4 linked regions of the Saccharomyces cerevisiae S288C genome follow. The protein of the gene in region 1 interacts with the protein of each later gene in a biochemical or structural test. Each region holds a gene or a part of one and is shown in the gene's direction. Other genes may lie near its edges.

The links.
Region 2: the proteins of HRD1 (region 1) and UBC7 form a complex in vitro, tested with the Saccharomyces cerevisiae proteins (16 studies listed by BioGRID, with this or other methods).
Region 3: the proteins of HRD1 (region 1) and CDC48 form a complex in vitro, tested with the Saccharomyces cerevisiae proteins (one study listed by BioGRID).
Region 4: of the proteins of HRD1 (region 1) and PDR5, one has a biochemical effect on the other in vitro, tested with the Saccharomyces cerevisiae proteins (one study listed by BioGRID).

What each region holds. Positions count from the first base shown.
Region 1 is NC_001147.6:300,801-304,612, reverse strand, and holds HRD1 (E3 ubiquitin-protein ligase HRD1), read left to right. Parts: upstream 1-1,577; coding exon 1,578-3,233; downstream 3,234-3,812. Other genes in the region: HTZ1 (histone H2AZ), read left to right, coding at 630-1,034.
Region 2 is NC_001145.3:316,732-319,677, forward strand, and holds UBC7 (E2 ubiquitin-conjugating protein UBC7), read left to right. Parts: upstream 1-1,948; coding exon 1,949-2,446; downstream 2,447-2,946. Other genes in the region: FMS1 (polyamine oxidase), read left to right, coding at 1-172; MAC1 (Mac1p), read right to left, coding at 434-1,687; MSS1 (Mss1p), read right to left, coding at 2,706-2,946.
Region 3 is NC_001136.10:235,645-240,595, reverse strand, and holds CDC48 (AAA family ATPase CDC48), read left to right. Parts: upstream 1-1,931; coding exon 1,932-4,439; downstream 4,440-4,951. Other genes in the region: YDL124W (aldo-keto reductase superfamily protein), read right to left, coding at 1-337; HNT1 (adenosine 5'-monophosphoramidase), read left to right, coding at 990-1,086, 1,198-1,577; cyclin PCL2, read right to left, coding at 4,743-4,951. UniProt on the Saccharomyces cerevisiae protein: ATP-dependent chaperone which probably uses the energy provided by ATP hydrolysis to generate mechanical force to unfold substrate proteins, disassemble protein complexes, and disaggregate protein aggregates.
Region 4 is NC_001147.6:617,955-624,936, forward strand, and holds PDR5 (ATP-binding cassette multidrug transporter PDR5), read left to right. Parts: upstream 1-1,885; coding exon 1,886-6,421; downstream 6,422-6,982. Other genes in the region: ATG40 (Atg40p), read right to left, coding at 1-334; SLP1 (Slp1p), read left to right, coding at 6,775-6,982. UniProt on the Saccharomyces cerevisiae protein: Active efflux of weakly charged organic compounds of 90 cubic Angstroms to 300 cubic Angstroms surface volume.

The sequences.
Region 1 (3,812 bases):
CTGTATTCTCTGAAGTGTTTGCCGCTGTTGTGTCTTGCCTTGCAACAGCGTATGTTTACCGTTTTATATATTGCGTGGCGCGCACCCGGTGATAAGAAACATCCATGTGATAAAACTCCGCACGTTGCTTGATTAATTAACCTCGGAGGTGTTACCCGCAATCAATATGTCTGCCAGCCGCCCGCCCGCCCCGGAGAAAAGAGCTTAGGACAAGAATCACTGTCTCTTACCTTGGAATCAGGGCAGGTCCGCACAAGCGGTAGTAAGCACATACCTAAAATAGCAGTATTCTTCTTTCTTTAGAGAACGTTAGACTCAATTGAAAAGGTTTACTGAATGCATCCATGCTAGATTAGCACACAGTAACTTTACGCCCGTAACTTACTACTCGTAGAACTGGCCGCTGGTGTTCCGTAACCCGCCGCGCTCGCTCCGTGCACGAAAACAACAAAACAAAAAAAACAACAAATAAAGCATACAGCTCTATTTAACAGCTGAACTATTATCCAGTGTAATAGAGTCACAACCCCCAACTAAAAAACACTGCGGACTCTATTATACTTCAGTCGGAAAAAATATCGTTAAATTCAATTTCGCACTATAGCCGCACGTAAAAATAACTTAACATAATGTCAGGAAAAGCTCATGGAGGTAAAGGTAAATCCGGCGCTAAAGACAGTGGTTCATTGAGATCTCAATCTTCTTCAGCAAGGGCTGGCTTGCAGTTTCCTGTCGGTAGGATTAAGCGTTACCTGAAAAGGCACGCTACCGGCCGAACAAGAGTAGGATCCAAAGCTGCCATTTATTTGACTGCTGTGTTGGAATATTTGACTGCTGAAGTGCTGGAGTTGGCTGGTAATGCAGCCAAGGATCTTAAAGTCAAGAGGATTACCCCAAGACATCTGCAATTGGCCATTAGAGGTGACGATGAGTTAGATTCTTTGATCAGGGCTACAATTGCTTCAGGTGGTGTTTTGCCTCATATAAATAAAGCATTATTATTGAAAGTGGAAAAAAAGGGAAGTAAGAAATAAGAAGAATAGTTTTTCTTTCCCATTTCCCGTAATTCTCCCTGCTCCTGTATCCTCATTCTATCCATATTAACGTCTGTATCATTATTATAAGTTGAAATTTGTCTCTCCGTACCCGAGTTATATACATACATATATGTAATCTATCTCTCCTTTCACGTCTAATCTCTTATGTTTTTACTATAATATATAGCATGAAAATATACTCTCACACAATATTCCCAACGATAGCGCAGTAGCCGTTATGTACGCAGAAATTTGGTCAGGGCTTTCTTTTTGTTGAACTTTGCATACCCGGAAAAATGGAAATTAAGGACACCTACAAAAGTACACTGTAGAAATCAAATCAAAGAAAAGGTTTAATAGACGATAAATTTCCATACGTGCCGACAGGACAAAAAAAAAACCCCCCTACCATTTCTAATAACAGCTTCACCACTAGTTATACTGTCGACTTTCTACCGATTTGTTGGTTCCTTTTTATAACCAGAAAATCATCTATCAATTGCAATTTGTAAGAGAAGGGGAGAAAGACAAAATAATAATATGGTGCCAGAAAATAGAAGGAAACAGTTGGCAATTTTTGTAGTTGTCACATATTTGCTCACATTTTATTGCGTGTATTCAGCCACCAAGACAAGCGTTTCCTTTTTGCAAGTAACACTGAAGCTAAATGAAGGCTTCAATCTAATGGTTTTGTCGATATTCATCTTATTAAATTCTACCTTACTATGGCAACTCCTAACGAAACTATTATTTGGTGAACTGAGGCTTATTGAGCATGAGCACATTTTTGAAAGGTTACCATTTACCATTATAAACACCTTGTTTATGTCCTCACTGTTCCACGAACGGTATTTTTTCACAGTGGCATTTTTTGGACTATTACTACTCTATCTGAAAGTTTTCCATTGGATTTTAAAGGATAGGCTGGAGGCCTTATTACAGTCAATAAATGATTCCACCACAATGAAAACCCTTATCTTTAGTAGATTCTCATTTAACCTCGTACTATTGGCGGTTGTAGACTACCAGATAATAACACGATGCATCTCCTCCATATATACAAACCAAAAGAGTGATATTGAATCCACATCCCTTTACCTGATACAAGTAATGGAGTTTACCATGCTTTTGATTGATTTGCTAAATTTATTCCTACAGACTTGTTTGAATTTCTGGGAATTTTATCGCTCACAACAAAGTCTGTCTAATGAGAACAACCATATTGTCCATGGCGATCCTACAGATGAAAACACGGTTGAGTCTGATCAATCTCAGCCAGTGCTGAATGACGACGACGATGACGACGATGATGATAGACAATTTACCGGCCTGGAGGGTAAATTCATGTATGAAAAAGCAATTGACGTATTCACAAGATTCTTAAAAACGGCACTTCATTTGTCTATGCTAATACCATTTAGGATGCCTATGATGCTTTTGAAAGATGTGGTGTGGGATATCTTGGCACTATATCAAAGTGGCACAAGTTTGTGGAAAATCTGGAGAAATAACAAACAGCTCGACGACACTCTTGTCACTGTCACCGTAGAACAGCTACAAAATTCTGCAAATGATGACAATATTTGTATCATTTGTATGGATGAGTTAATACATTCTCCAAACCAGCAGACGTGGAAGAATAAAAACAAGAAACCCAAAAGGTTACCTTGTGGCCACATACTTCATTTGTCGTGTTTAAAGAATTGGATGGAACGTTCTCAGACTTGTCCTATTTGTAGATTGCCTGTCTTTGATGAAAAAGGTAATGTTGTGCAAACGACTTTCACTTCCAATAGTGATATCACGACACAGACCACCGTAACAGATAGCACTGGGATAGCGACAGATCAACAAGGTTTCGCAAACGAAGTAGATCTACTTCCCACAAGAACAACTTCCCCTGATATAAGGATAGTGCCTACTCAAAATATAGACACATTAGCAATGAGAACAAGGTCAACCTCTACACCATCTCCTACGTGGTATACGTTCCCATTACATAAAACTGGTGATAATTCTGTTGGGTCAAGCCGATCAGCCTACGAATTTTTGATCACAAATTCAGATGAGAAAGAAAATGGTATTCCTGTCAAATTAACAATAGAAAATCACGAAGTAAATTCTCTGCATGGAGACGGGGGCGAGCAAATTGCCAAGAAAATTGTCATACCAGATAAATTTATCCAGCATATCTAGATTGCATGTTTTATATTATACATAGTTTTTTTTAAAGAAAAAAACTACTGGATGAAAAACACACACACACACACATATATATATATTATACATCAGCGGAAATTACTCGATATCTAGAAATGCGTACACATGCTACATCGATCAGCTACGTCTGACCGAATACTTTTCAATAGTAAAAAAGGGGGCGAGCTGGGAATTGAACCCAGGGCCTCTCGCATGCTTTGTCCCCCTGTTAATCAGGAAGTCGCCCAAAGCGAGAATCATACCACTAGACCACACGCCCGATCTTTTCTGAGAACCATGAAAAGACTCAGAATTTATAATACACATCATGGCCTTCCAAAGCAACTCAGCCTATGTTGAAATGTAATTCTAGTACCATCCACTTATTATTGGTATTCATGTTACTAGTATATTATCACATACGGCATAGGAAGGTGACATAATGATTAAGGAACAGCTATCACATATAAAGGAAGCAGAAATCCTAAGGTTGATAATGCAATAGGATAATAAATGATAACATATAAAATGGAAGAAGAAGTAAACATTATCATAATATGTAGATATATCGACTCT
Region 2 (2,946 bases), on another chromosome or scaffold:
CTGTTTTCCAGGAGATGATCCAGTTGATATGGTTGTTGCAATGTCTAATGGTCAAGACTCCCGCATAAGATTTGCAGGCGAACATACTATCATGGACGGCGCCGGCTGTGCCTATGGTGCTTGGGAAAGCGGAAGACGGGAGGCGACTCGAATCTCTGACTTACTGAAATAGAATCTATTTTTTCGAAATTACTTACACTTTTGACGGCTAGAAAAGGATATACATACATATTAAAATTTTTAGTAACACTCTGTGCTTTTTCAAAAATTTGAGGTACACCTAATTCTCCCACTTGTTGCTTATACCAAGTTTGAACAATTTTAATGTTAAGCACAATAGATTGGAATATTATCATATGGTGGTTCAGAGAGTAGTAGGGTGCATTTTCATTCCTGTTGCCTCAATGTGTTTTCTATCTGTATTTACGTGATTTTATGAAGTGGTGGCATCGCTTAGATGTGGTGCATAATTAGAGACTAATTTTTGAAACCACGCATGAATGTCAAGTAATTCTAACTGAGCATCTGTCATCAATGGCACTTGCAACTTCAAAAAATCCCACCAATATTTTGACGGCACCAATTTACCTTTGAATTTTATTTGAGTTTTCCTTGTTAATCTTGCATTCAGAATTCCATAGAAAAAGAATTTTTCAAATGGAATTATATTTGTAGAGTGAGAAAAACATCCATCACAAGTGCAGTTATCCGGAGGACATATGCATTCCTTGTCAGTGCATTTACAATCATCCAAATAATCCATCATCTTATCAGTAATTTGAGCTTCACCAATATTGGTTAAAGGAACACCACTTTGTTGAATATAAGAATTCAGTTCCTCTTCGCTTCTATGGATTAGACAATTAACACATGGGCAGCTTTCATCTTCACAAGAGCACTGCGTGCTTAAAAAAATGCCCTTATGAGTCAGGACTTCAACTTTCGAAGCAACGTCGCTTGAATGAGGAGCAGCAATCGTTGTTGTACTTTGTGGGGTGAGTGTTTCTGAACTGTCATGCGCACCAGGAACAGAACTATTGTAGTTTTCTTGTAAAATATCGTTAAAAGCGGACGTAGATTCCAAGGAGCCGTATGGCGTAAATATGTCATCAGACGGTGCCTTGTTCGTCTTGCCATTAGAAGCTGGGTTCTGTGATTTATCTTTCTTACAGCAGTTTGAAAAATGTCGTATAGGCTCCTGTTGAAGCCGGCTTCGCTCTTTCTTCTCACTTGAAGAAGATGACTTGGTAGAGTCCGGAGATATTGTTCCTGTTGCCGGAGCTTTGGGAGAGTGTTTCCTAAGAAACTCCGTTTCGGTGATATATTTGTTACCATCATCGGTAAATGTGCTAATATCTTTAGGCTCATGAGCAGTGAAACCTTCCTCCATTAATATATGCAATTTTCCGTTTATCATTCTTGCCTTTCTAACAGCAGAGGCACGTACAAACAGTATTGGCTGTTGATTCATTGCGCTGCAGCAGTCACCTTCAATTTGTGCACCATTTTCGTATTCTGTACTTTGCGATGTAGAGTCTACTAAAATAGCGTCTCTGATAGCCATGGGTGAAGGTCTTCCTCTAGTTCTCACCTTAATTAGCATTCGGTGAGAATGCCTGCATGTTGAAGAGCGATGCCCTCTGATGCACGATGCACACGCATATTTGTTCCCATTAAATATTATCATCTCTGATAGAGCTTGAAGAACTTACCAGACTGTTTCAAGTTTAAAACAAGGCGCCTCATCGCATCTACCTCACGAAGATGCAGCAGCTTATTGTCTCGAGATCCTTCTTATAACTCCTTTTCGCCATTACCCGAAAACGAGATTACAGCCTCTAAACCAAGAGCTCGAAAAGCGCCAAAGTAAACTCTGGCGTTTAGCGTACGAAGGAGATTATCCTAAAAGGAACTTCCCTAGTAATAGTGTAATTTGGAAGGGCATAGCATGTCGAAAACCGCTCAGAAACGTCTCCTCAAGGAGCTTCAACAGTTAATTAAAGATTCTCCACCTGGTATAGTGGCTGGTCCCAAATCGGAGAATAACATATTCATTTGGGACTGCCTAATTCAAGGGCCTCCAGATACGCCATACGCTGATGGTGTTTTTAATGCTAAGCTAGAGTTTCCTAAAGACTATCCGTTATCTCCACCTAAACTTACTTTCACACCCAGCATACTACATCCAAATATTTATCCAAATGGGGAAGTGTGCATATCCATTCTACACTCCCCTGGTGATGATCCTAACATGTACGAATTAGCGGAAGAAAGATGGTCGCCAGTGCAAAGTGTAGAAAAAATTCTATTAAGTGTTATGAGCATGTTGAGTGAGCCCAATATCGAAAGTGGTGCCAACATTGATGCTTGCATCTTGTGGAGAGATAATAGACCTGAATTTGAGAGACAGGTAAAGTTATCCATTTTGAAATCATTAGGATTCTGAAAGCAGGTAGCAGGTTAATGATCATTTGGTCTTCCTTTTAACTGTTCTCTATATACATAAATAAGCATATCTACCATCTAAAAGAAAGCAAATGTCACATAATAAATATGTTAAAATCTCAATGTCTTCCTGGCTTTTCAGGAATTCAAACCATTTCCATTTCGTTGGTGTATAATCAGGGGCCCCTCTACTCTCACCTCTCTGTACCGAAGCGTTAATCAATTTTCTTTTATTTATATACACGATGATTGTAACTAGGTTATTTTCCTATACAAAATTTGCTGAACACTGAATCTAAGATTTCCTCAATACCAATAGCTTGTCCTGTTATCTTAGCTATTCCATCGGATGCATACCTCAAATTTTCTGTGGCCAATACTATATCATTATGGAAATCTTTGGATTTGAAAAACTCTTCCAAGCCGTACAGTACGTCGTTTTTGAGAATCTCTGACACTCTTTTGGAAACAATGACAGGACTTGCATCGGCACTTGATTGA
Region 3 (4,951 bases), on another chromosome or scaffold:
TGCCCATCTTCTTCAAAGCTAAATCTAGTCCATCCGCTGGGGAATCTGACATCTTGATTTGAGGTGAGTACTTGTCTGTCAAGAATATTGCATTTCTTGGTTTTTCGGTGAGGCTAAGTGCCTTCCCAACTTCTGGATATGTTCTGTAGATCTCAGCAGCATCAATGTGAATAATGCCAGGTAACTTCAGAGCATAAACAATCTGTTCGACCAAACTGTTCGAAAAGGTAGCATCCGTTTCTTCGTTTTTATACCATCTAGTACCTGTCCCAATGATGGCGATTGCGGGGATTTTATTTCCATTATTCAAGGTAAAGAACTGTTGGTGAAATGACATCTGTAAAAGTGTTGTTAACTGACCTCCGTTTCTTTAGGGTAACACAACCGTTTACATGTGTATCCATATCCACGTAGTATCCGACTATCAATATATCCGTATATATATATATATATATATGGGATGAGCGTATGTGAGTGTTTTCGTAGATATTCAAAATACGAGTAAAGGAGATCCTAGGTGTGGATTAGTAAGGGGAGTGTGGCAACTTCCTTTTTCCGGTTAATTCTCCGCGCTTTCGTTAGACTATTTTGCAAGGACCCAAATAGGAGACGCATGGAGGCTTCTACAAAACAGCGTGCCGTTTTGATGGCATGAGCAGGGGGCGCAAAGGAAACACCGGTAAATCGCGCAAGACCTTGTTGGCCACGTAGCCTCAAAGGTTGAATTGACACTTGTCTACAGAACTTGAAAAGTACAAAAGGAGGTCACATAAAACAGTAAGCTTGAGAAGCTTTAAGATATGGTGCGAATCGTTACAGAATATTCCTTGCAGAAATAATGGCGGGTCCGTTCTCTTCTGAAGAAGTTACCGCCCTACTGAAGCATTGCTGTACGATCGTGTAATGTGATGTGTGTTCGACTGGAAAGCGGAGAACATTATGAAGTAAAAGGACAATCAGCACGCCTTCCAGACTTTTAAGAAACATTGATGGAGCCATTGATATCGGCACCGTACCTAACAACAACAAAAATGTCTGCTCCTGCTACGCTTGATGCTGCCTGTATTTTTTGCAAGATTATTAAAAGTATGTCACATTACTAATAAAGAGCTTACACTCACACCAATGATGGCGATAGTCTCTATGTAGTACATATACATAAAGCAGAATACTAACAATCGATCCGCTATGCAACAGGCGAAATTCCATCCTTCAAATTGATTGAAACAAAGTACTCGTATGCTTTCTTGGACATCCAACCTACTGCTGAAGGTCATGCTTTAATCATTCCTAAGTACCATGGTGCGAAGTTGCATGACATCCCGGACGAATTCCTTACCGATGCTATGCCGATTGCCAAGAGACTGGCCAAGGCAATGAAGTTGGACACTTATAATGTGTTGCAGAATAATGGTAAAATTGCGCATCAAGAAGTCGACCACGTCCACTTCCATTTGATTCCTAAGAGAGATGAGAAAAGTGGTTTGATTGTAGGGTGGCCAGCCCAAGAAACGGACTTCGATAAGTTGGGCAAGCTACACAAGGAATTGCTTGCCAAACTAGAAGGCTCCGATTAGAGTAATGCATGCTATGATTTCTTTTAGCGTTTTCTTTTCATATTTAAGTTTATACATATGGGTGTGTTTGCTTCCATTCATATCCACTCTATAATGCTAACAATCATGTTACTAGCCATCGTTGCTATCGATACCTTATGAACAGCTCTAACTCCTTCCTTTTTAACCTACCGCCTTTTGCGCACTACCCGGCAACCCCTCGAATGTGAATTCGGTGGCAAAAAAGGACATATATCAGGGCCGTGTATTTAAGAGATCCGCAGTTGATGTAGTCAATTAATCTAGTTCTATTAAGATTTGACTCAACGCCATTGACTCGATAACTGGCTCAACTACAAGACAGATATACAAATCATGGGTGAAGAACATAAACCACTTTTGGACGCCTCGGGTGTCGACCCTCGTGAGGAGGATAAAACCGCCACCGCCATTTTAAGAAGAAAGAAGAAGGACAACATGCTTTTGGTGGACGATGCTATCAATGATGACAATTCTGTCATTGCTATTAATTCTAACACCATGGACAAATTGGAATTGTTCCGTGGTGACACCGTTCTCGTTAAGGGCAAGAAGAGAAAAGATACTGTCTTAATTGTGTTGATCGATGACGAATTAGAAGACGGAGCATGCAGGATAAACCGTGTAGTTCGTAACAATTTACGTATTAGGCTGGGTGATTTAGTTACAATTCATCCTTGCCCCGATATCAAATACGCTACTAGAATTTCTGTGTTACCAATTGCTGATACGATCGAAGGTATAACTGGTAATCTTTTCGATGTTTTTTTGAAGCCTTATTTTGTGGAAGCCTACAGACCAGTGAGGAAAGGCGACCATTTTGTTGTCAGAGGCGGTATGAGACAAGTCGAATTCAAGGTTGTGGATGTCGAACCTGAAGAATATGCCGTCGTTGCTCAGGATACTATTATTCACTGGGAAGGTGAGCCAATCAACAGGGAAGATGAAGAAAATAATATGAATGAGGTGGGTTACGATGATATTGGTGGTTGTCGTAAGCAAATGGCTCAAATTAGGGAAATGGTTGAACTACCATTGAGACATCCTCAGTTGTTCAAGGCTATCGGTATCAAGCCACCAAGAGGTGTTTTGATGTATGGTCCCCCTGGTACTGGTAAAACCTTGATGGCAAGAGCTGTTGCTAATGAGACCGGTGCCTTTTTTTTCTTAATTAATGGTCCAGAAGTCATGTCAAAAATGGCTGGTGAATCAGAGTCTAACTTAAGAAAGGCCTTTGAAGAAGCCGAAAAGAACGCTCCAGCCATCATTTTTATCGATGAAATCGATTCTATAGCTCCAAAGAGAGACAAGACTAATGGTGAAGTTGAGAGAAGAGTTGTCTCTCAATTGTTAACTTTAATGGATGGTATGAAGGCAAGATCTAATGTTGTTGTCATTGCTGCTACCAATAGACCAAATTCGATTGATCCCGCTTTAAGAAGATTTGGTAGATTCGATCGTGAAGTCGACATTGGTATCCCAGATGCTACAGGTAGACTTGAAGTTCTACGTATTCACACCAAGAACATGAAGTTGGCTGATGATGTTGATTTGGAAGCATTGGCTGCTGAAACACACGGTTACGTGGGTGCTGATATTGCCTCTTTGTGTTCTGAAGCTGCCATGCAACAGATCCGTGAAAAAATGGACTTGATAGATTTAGATGAAGATGAAATTGATGCAGAGGTGCTCGATTCTTTAGGAGTCACCATGGACAACTTCAGATTCGCATTGGGCAATTCAAACCCATCTGCATTGCGTGAAACCGTTGTTGAAAGTGTCAATGTTACTTGGGATGACGTTGGTGGCCTAGATGAAATCAAGGAGGAATTGAAGGAAACTGTAGAATACCCAGTCTTACATCCAGACCAATACACAAAGTTTGGGTTATCACCATCAAAGGGTGTGTTGTTCTACGGTCCACCAGGTACAGGTAAAACTTTGTTAGCAAAAGCTGTAGCTACTGAGGTTTCTGCCAACTTTATCTCAGTCAAAGGTCCAGAATTATTGAGTATGTGGTATGGTGAATCGGAATCTAACATCCGTGATATTTTTGATAAGGCAAGAGCAGCTGCACCAACCGTCGTTTTTCTAGATGAATTAGACTCCATTGCCAAGGCAAGAGGTGGTTCCTTGGGTGATGCTGGTGGTGCTTCGGATAGAGTCGTCAACCAACTATTAACAGAAATGGATGGTATGAATGCTAAGAAAAATGTGTTCGTGATTGGTGCCACCAATAGGCCAGATCAAATTGATCCTGCTATTTTAAGACCTGGCAGATTGGATCAATTAATTTATGTTCCATTGCCAGATGAAAACGCTAGATTATCTATTCTAAATGCTCAATTAAGGAAAACACCACTAGAACCAGGGCTAGAGTTAACTGCGATTGCCAAGGCCACTCAAGGTTTCTCTGGTGCTGATTTACTCTATATTGTGCAGAGGGCTGCTAAATACGCTATCAAGGATTCTATCGAAGCTCACAGACAACACGAAGCTGAAAAGGAAGTGAAAGTAGAAGGTGAAGACGTGGAAATGACAGATGAGGGAGCAAAGGCTGAACAAGAACCAGAAGTAGATCCTGTTCCATATATTACAAAGGAGCATTTCGCAGAAGCTATGAAGACCGCTAAACGTTCTGTTTCAGATGCTGAATTGCGTCGTTATGAAGCATACTCACAGCAAATGAAAGCATCTAGAGGTCAATTCAGTAATTTCAACTTTAATGACGCTCCATTAGGTACTACGGCTACGGACAATGCTAACAGTAATAATAGTGCTCCAAGTGGAGCAGGTGCTGCATTTGGTTCTAATGCGGAGGAAGATGATGATTTGTATAGTTAGTTATATGCCAGGTATATTTTTATTTTAAATCGTAAATTCAAGTCATTTCTATAAAAAAAATCGTCAATTTTAACTCAATATTTTATGGCCCTTTTTATATTTATTTTCAAATTTGTCAAAAAAAGGAGAGCTAAATCATTAGAAAAAGAATGCATTATGGTATATTTATGTATATTAATATGTAAAATAAGAAAAAAGGGAGGCTGTAGGACCTCGGTCGTAAGAACATTTACCTGTGTTCTTCCGCCTTTTCCGAAAGTGCCATGAAGAAACGCAGGCCAGGCATAATTTCGACATTTAAAATCACGATTTGAAGTAATTTGACCAATTCGATTTCTTTACTTTTGTATCTTCTTTTATTATCTGTTTGTTTAACCCAGTTTTCAAGATCACAGGGCGCGCTTTACTAAAATTAAAAGGCTTAATTGTCGGTATTGGCCTATTTTCCTTGTTATCGTGTTTGGAGTCTATGTTGTATGTTCGCGGAGAAAACTTGTCGCTAATGTTATTGG
Region 4 (6,982 bases), 320 kb from region 1:
CCATAAAGGCAATGAAGTCATATACCAGCTCTCTTGTCAAGCAAATACTTCCAAACGACATAAGTAAAGAGGTAAATGGTAAGAAATTCAGAAAGGCATCAATAGGAGTATAGAGGTAAATAAAATGTATGAACTCGTAAAGACTCCAATATTTTAACAGTGATTTATAAATGGTGATGACAACTGGGGACTGACCCAAAGAAGTAGCGGTTTTAGCAGCACTTGCCTTTGAGAAGTCAACGGAAGACGTCAGATAGACCACTTCTAATGTCAGCTGCAAAGGAATGGCAACTGAGGTAAGCAAAAATAAGGGCCATAAAATTAAATTAAACATTAGTTTTCTATGGTGGAGTGAAGCACAGCAGAAAGAACGTTAGGAACCTTAGCTAAAAGATAGAAAAAAAGAGCACTACAAAAATCTTATCCTCGATTTGAAATACTAATGTCGAGCCAGATCAAATTAAATGAAATCGAAATGATATAACGTTGCTCTTGCACGTGTATTTCGCTGCTTAGGAAAGTTGTTTCCACATATTATCTTTTGTACGATTTTAAACAGTAAAATCGATGCATATTAAGGGAGGCCCAATACCCGCGGGCAGTAACCGCATCTTTGGAAATACCGGGTAATAATAAATGCCCGGGAAAAAAGAGCATAAAACAGAGAGGCGATATAGGAATGAATATGTGCTATTTACGGAAGGGAAAAACACTTATTGTTTTTCTGAAATGTGACACAGTAAAGTCCGTCATATACGGTTCTCCGTTGGGCGCTACCACACACATATATATAAGCCTGAATGCAGTAGACAAATTTCAGATATCATACAAAGGAAGCGTTCTCTGGGACCCCTTTCTATGTTTAGATGGTTCACTGAACTTGTTCGTTAACGTAAATATGTCTTCCTCTTTGATTCCAACAATGATATTATAAGGAAATTATCGTCACAATCTAATCAACAAGGACAAAGAAAAGAAAAAGTTGAGAGAGAGAACAAAAGTTCAAATCAAAGAAAAAAAAGAACATCAAATTACCTATTACAATAAACAATTAAGCCATACTCGCAACAATTTGCCATAATAGAAAGCAGCACCTCGTTGGCGCAGTCCCTTACATAGTACACAACATTTATCACTTCACACAATCAGGAGTGGAACTCAATGGAAAACAACACCACACGTATGATCTTACTAATAAAAGAACATGAACGTTCCTCAGCGCGAACGTTCGCATTCTGCGCCTTCGAGCACAGGATAAGTTGCAGGAAGCCATCACATCTATGCAACGATTATCACGACACAACCTTGCCGCCGAGAAAACGTCCGTGGAGAACCATTCGGTCGATTGCTTCCCACGGAACGAGTGGACTGAAACTTAAGACTGCCCCTCTCTTTCCGCGGAATCGCTCATGCCGCGGTGCCACAACATTTTCAGATTTACTAAGACTCCGGTGAGTGTGGGCTCACCCGCGGGTCGTGATCACGATTCAGCACCCTTTGGACTCGTGATTCCGTGGAAAGGTCAGATCTGTATTCCTACTTATGGTAATGTGCTAAAAAAAGAGAAATGTCTCCGCGGAACTCTTCTACGCCGTGGTACGATATCTGTTGAACGTAATCTGAGCAATACAAACAAGGCCTCTCCTATACATATATAATTGTGATGTGCATAACCTTATGGCTGTTCGCTTTTATTATCATACCTTAGAATGAAATCCAAAAGAAAAAAGTCACGCAAAGTTGCAAACATATAACAACTGTGTTAGTTATCACTCGACTTTGTTATTCTAATTATAAATAAATTGGCAACTAGGAACTTTCGAAAAAGAAATTAAAGACCCTTTTAAGTTTTCGTATCCGCTCGTTCGAAAGACTTTAGACAAAAATGCCCGAGGCCAAGCTTAACAATAACGTCAACGACGTTACTAGCTACTCCTCCGCGTCTTCTTCTACTGAAAACGCTGCTGATCTACACAATTATAATGGGTTCGATGAGCATACAGAAGCTCGAATCCAAAAACTGGCAAGGACTCTGACCGCACAGAGTATGCAAAACTCCACTCAATCGGCACCCAACAAAAGTGATGCTCAGTCTATATTTTCTAGCGGTGTGGAAGGTGTAAACCCGATATTCTCTGATCCTGAAGCTCCAGGCTATGACCCAAAATTGGACCCCAACTCCGAAAATTTTTCTAGTGCCGCCTGGGTTAAGAATATGGCTCACCTAAGTGCGGCAGACCCTGACTTTTATAAGCCTTATTCCTTAGGTTGCGCTTGGAAGAACTTAAGTGCTTCTGGTGCTTCCGCAGATGTCGCCTATCAGTCAACTGTGGTTAATATTCCATACAAAATCCTAAAAAGTGGGCTGAGAAAGTTTCAACGTTCTAAAGAAACCAATACTTTCCAAATCTTGAAACCAATGGATGGTTGCCTAAACCCAGGTGAATTGCTAGTCGTTTTAGGTAGACCAGGCTCTGGCTGTACTACTTTATTAAAATCCATCTCTTCAAATACTCATGGTTTTGATCTTGGTGCAGATACTAAAATTTCTTACAGCGGCTACTCAGGTGATGATATTAAGAAACATTTTCGTGGTGAAGTTGTTTACAACGCAGAAGCTGATGTACATCTGCCTCATTTAACAGTCTTCGAAACTTTGGTTACAGTAGCGAGGTTGAAAACCCCACAGAACCGTATCAAGGGTGTCGATAGGGAAAGTTATGCGAATCATTTGGCGGAAGTAGCAATGGCAACGTACGGTTTATCGCATACAAGGAATACAAAAGTTGGTAACGACATCGTCAGAGGTGTTTCCGGTGGTGAAAGGAAGCGTGTCTCCATTGCTGAAGTCTCCATCTGTGGATCCAAATTTCAATGCTGGGATAATGCTACAAGGGGTTTGGATTCCGCTACCGCTTTGGAATTTATTCGTGCCTTAAAGACTCAAGCTGATATTTCCAATACATCTGCCACAGTGGCCATCTATCAATGTTCTCAAGATGCGTACGACTTGTTCAATAAAGTCTGTGTTTTGGATGATGGTTATCAGATCTACTATGGCCCCGCCGATAAGGCCAAGAAGTACTTTGAAGATATGGGGTATGTTTGTCCAAGCAGACAAACCACCGCAGATTTTTTGACCTCAGTTACAAGTCCCTCTGAGAGAACCCTGAACAAAGATATGCTAAAAAAAGGTATTCATATACCACAGACCCCGAAGGAAATGAACGATTACTGGGTAAAATCTCCAAATTACAAAGAGCTAATGAAAGAAGTCGACCAACGATTATTGAATGACGATGAAGCAAGCCGTGAAGCTATTAAGGAAGCCCACATTGCTAAGCAGTCCAAGAGAGCAAGACCTTCCTCTCCTTATACTGTCAGCTACATGATGCAAGTTAAATACCTATTAATCAGAAATATGTGGAGACTGCGAAATAATATCGGGTTTACATTATTTATGATTTTGGGTAACTGTAGTATGGCTTTAATCTTGGGTTCAATGTTTTTCAAGATCATGAAAAAGGGTGATACTTCTACATTCTATTTCCGTGGTTCTGCTATGTTTTTTGCAATTCTATTCAATGCATTTTCTTCTCTGTTAGAAATCTTTTCGTTATATGAGGCCAGACCAATCACTGAAAAACATAGAACATATTCGTTATACCATCCAAGTGCTGACGCTTTTGCATCAGTTCTATCAGAAATACCCTCAAAGTTAATCATCGCTGTTTGCTTCAATATAATCTTCTATTTCTTAGTAGACTTTAGAAGAAATGGTGGTGTATTCTTTTTCTACTTATTAATAAACATTGTCGCGGTTTTCTCCATGTCTCACTTGTTTAGATGTGTTGGTTCCTTAACAAAGACATTGTCAGAAGCTATGGTTCCCGCTTCTATGTTATTGTTGGCTCTATCCATGTATACCGGTTTTGCTATTCCTAAGAAGAAGATCCTACGTTGGTCTAAATGGATTTGGTATATCAATCCGTTGGCTTACTTATTCGAATCTTTGTTAATTAACGAGTTTCATGGTATAAAATTCCCCTGCGCTGAATATGTTCCTCGTGGTCCTGCGTATGCAAACATTTCTAGTACAGAATCTGTTTGTACCGTGGTTGGAGCTGTTCCAGGCCAAGACTATGTTCTGGGTGATGATTTCATTAGAGGAACTTATCAATACTACCACAAAGACAAATGGCGTGGTTTCGGTATTGGTATGGCTTATGTCGTCTTCTTTTTCTTTGTCTATCTATTCTTATGTGAATACAACGAGGGTGCTAAACAAAAAGGTGAAATATTAGTTTTCCCACGCAGTATAGTTAAAAGAATGAAGAAAAGAGGTGTACTAACTGAAAAGAATGCAAATGACCCCGAAAACGTTGGGGAACGTAGTGACTTATCCAGCGATAGGAAAATGCTACAAGAAAGCTCTGAAGAGGAATCCGATACTTACGGAGAAATTGGTTTATCCAAGTCAGAGGCTATATTTCACTGGAGAAACCTTTGTTACGAAGTTCAGATTAAGGCCGAAACAAGACGTATTTTGAACAATGTTGATGGTTGGGTTAAACCAGGTACTTTAACAGCTTTAATGGGTGCTTCAGGTGCTGGTAAAACCACACTTCTGGATTGTTTGGCCGAAAGGGTTACCATGGGTGTTATAACTGGTGATATCTTGGTCAATGGTATTCCCCGTGATAAATCTTTCCCAAGATCCATTGGTTATTGTCAGCAACAAGATTTGCATTTGAAAACTGCCACTGTGAGGGAGTCATTGAGATTTTCTGCTTACCTACGTCAACCAGCTGAAGTTTCCATTGAAGAAAAGAACAGATATGTTGAAGAAGTTATTAAAATTCTTGAAATGGAAAAATATGCTGATGCTGTTGTTGGTGTTGCTGGTGAAGGTTTAAACGTTGAACAAAGAAAAAGATTAACCATTGGTGTTGAATTAACTGCCAAACCAAAACTGTTGGTCTTTTTAGATGAACCTACTTCTGGTTTGGATTCTCAAACTGCTTGGTCTATTTGTCAGCTAATGAAAAAGTTGGCAAATCATGGTCAAGCAATTCTATGTACTATTCACCAACCCTCTGCTATTTTGATGCAAGAATTCGATCGTTTACTATTTATGCAACGTGGTGGTAAGACTGTCTACTTTGGCGACTTGGGCGAAGGTTGTAAAACTATGATCGATTATTTTGAAAGCCATGGTGCTCATAAATGCCCTGCTGACGCCAACCCAGCTGAATGGATGCTAGAAGTTGTTGGTGCAGCTCCAGGCTCTCATGCAAATCAAGATTATTACGAAGTTTGGAGGAATTCTGAAGAGTACAGGGCCGTTCAATCTGAATTAGATTGGATGGAAAGAGAATTACCAAAGAAAGGTTCGATAACTGCAGCTGAGGACAAACACGAATTTTCACAATCAATTATTTATCAAACAAAATTGGTCAGTATTCGTCTATTCCAGCAATATTGGAGATCTCCAGATTATTTATGGTCGAAGTTTATTTTAACTATTTTCAATCAATTGTTCATCGGTTTCACTTTCTTCAAAGCAGGAACCTCGCTACAGGGTTTACAAAATCAAATGTTGGCTGTGTTCATGTTTACGGTTATTTTCAATCCTATTCTACAACAATACCTACCATCTTTTGTCCAGCAAAGAGATTTGTATGAGGCCAGGGAACGCCCCTCAAGGACTTTTTCTTGGATTTCATTTATCTTCGCTCAAATATTCGTGGAAGTTCCATGGAATATATTGGCAGGTACTATTGCTTATTTTATCTACTATTATCCAATTGGATTTTACTCCAACGCGTCTGCAGCTGGCCAGTTGCATGAAAGGGGTGCTTTATTTTGGTTGTTCTCTTGTGCTTTCTACGTTTATGTTGGTTCTATGGGTCTGCTTGTCATTTCATTCAACCAAGTTGCAGAAAGTGCAGCTAACTTAGCCTCTTTGTTGTTTACAATGTCTTTGTCTTTTTGTGGTGTTATGACTACCCCAAGTGCCATGCCTAGATTTTGGATATTCATGTACAGGGTTTCACCTTTGACTTATTTCATTCAGGCTCTGTTGGCTGTTGGTGTTGCTAACGTAGACGTCAAATGCGCTGATTACGAATTGCTAGAATTCACACCACCATCCGGTATGACATGTGGGCAGTACATGGAACCATATTTACAACTAGCAAAGACTGGTTACTTAACTGATGAAAATGCCACTGACACCTGTAGTTTCTGTCAAATATCTACAACCAATGATTACTTAGCTAATGTCAATTCTTTCTACAGTGAGAGATGGAGAAATTATGGTATCTTCATCTGTTATATTGCATTCAATTATATCGCTGGTGTCTTTTTCTACTGGTTAGCAAGAGTGCCTAAAAAGAACGGTAAACTCTCCAAGAAATAATAGAATTTTGAATTTGGTTAAGAAAAGAAACTTACCAAGATGGACTTTTTTAATAAACATACATAATCACTACATATAGGTGCGTAATAATAAGTTTTTATTTTTTTTTTCTTAATTCAGCGAGCTTTCTACATTTCAATTTTCTTGAATTTACCAGCTCTGATAAATCAAAGTTCAATGTCCGAAAGAATTCCGAGAATTTTATTCCTAGGTTATCTCATCGGTACTTTTTTTTTATAGGCATCAGCATTTAGTGTGAAAACATTATTTCTTAACTGTGCCTTACGGTTAAAAAGAAAGGACGCAATGGATATAGTTAAAATATAAGATATATTATATCATTATCTGTCCGAATGGCGAACCGTCTTCTCATATACGGCCTTATTTTGTGGGTAAGTATAATCGGATCTTTTGCATTAGATAGGAACAAAACTGCTCAAAATGCGAAGATTGGTCTACATGATACCACTGTGATCACGACTGGAAGTACAACGAACGTGCAGAAAGAACATTCCTCACCACTATCCACCGGTTCTTTAAGAACCCATGATTTTAGACAGG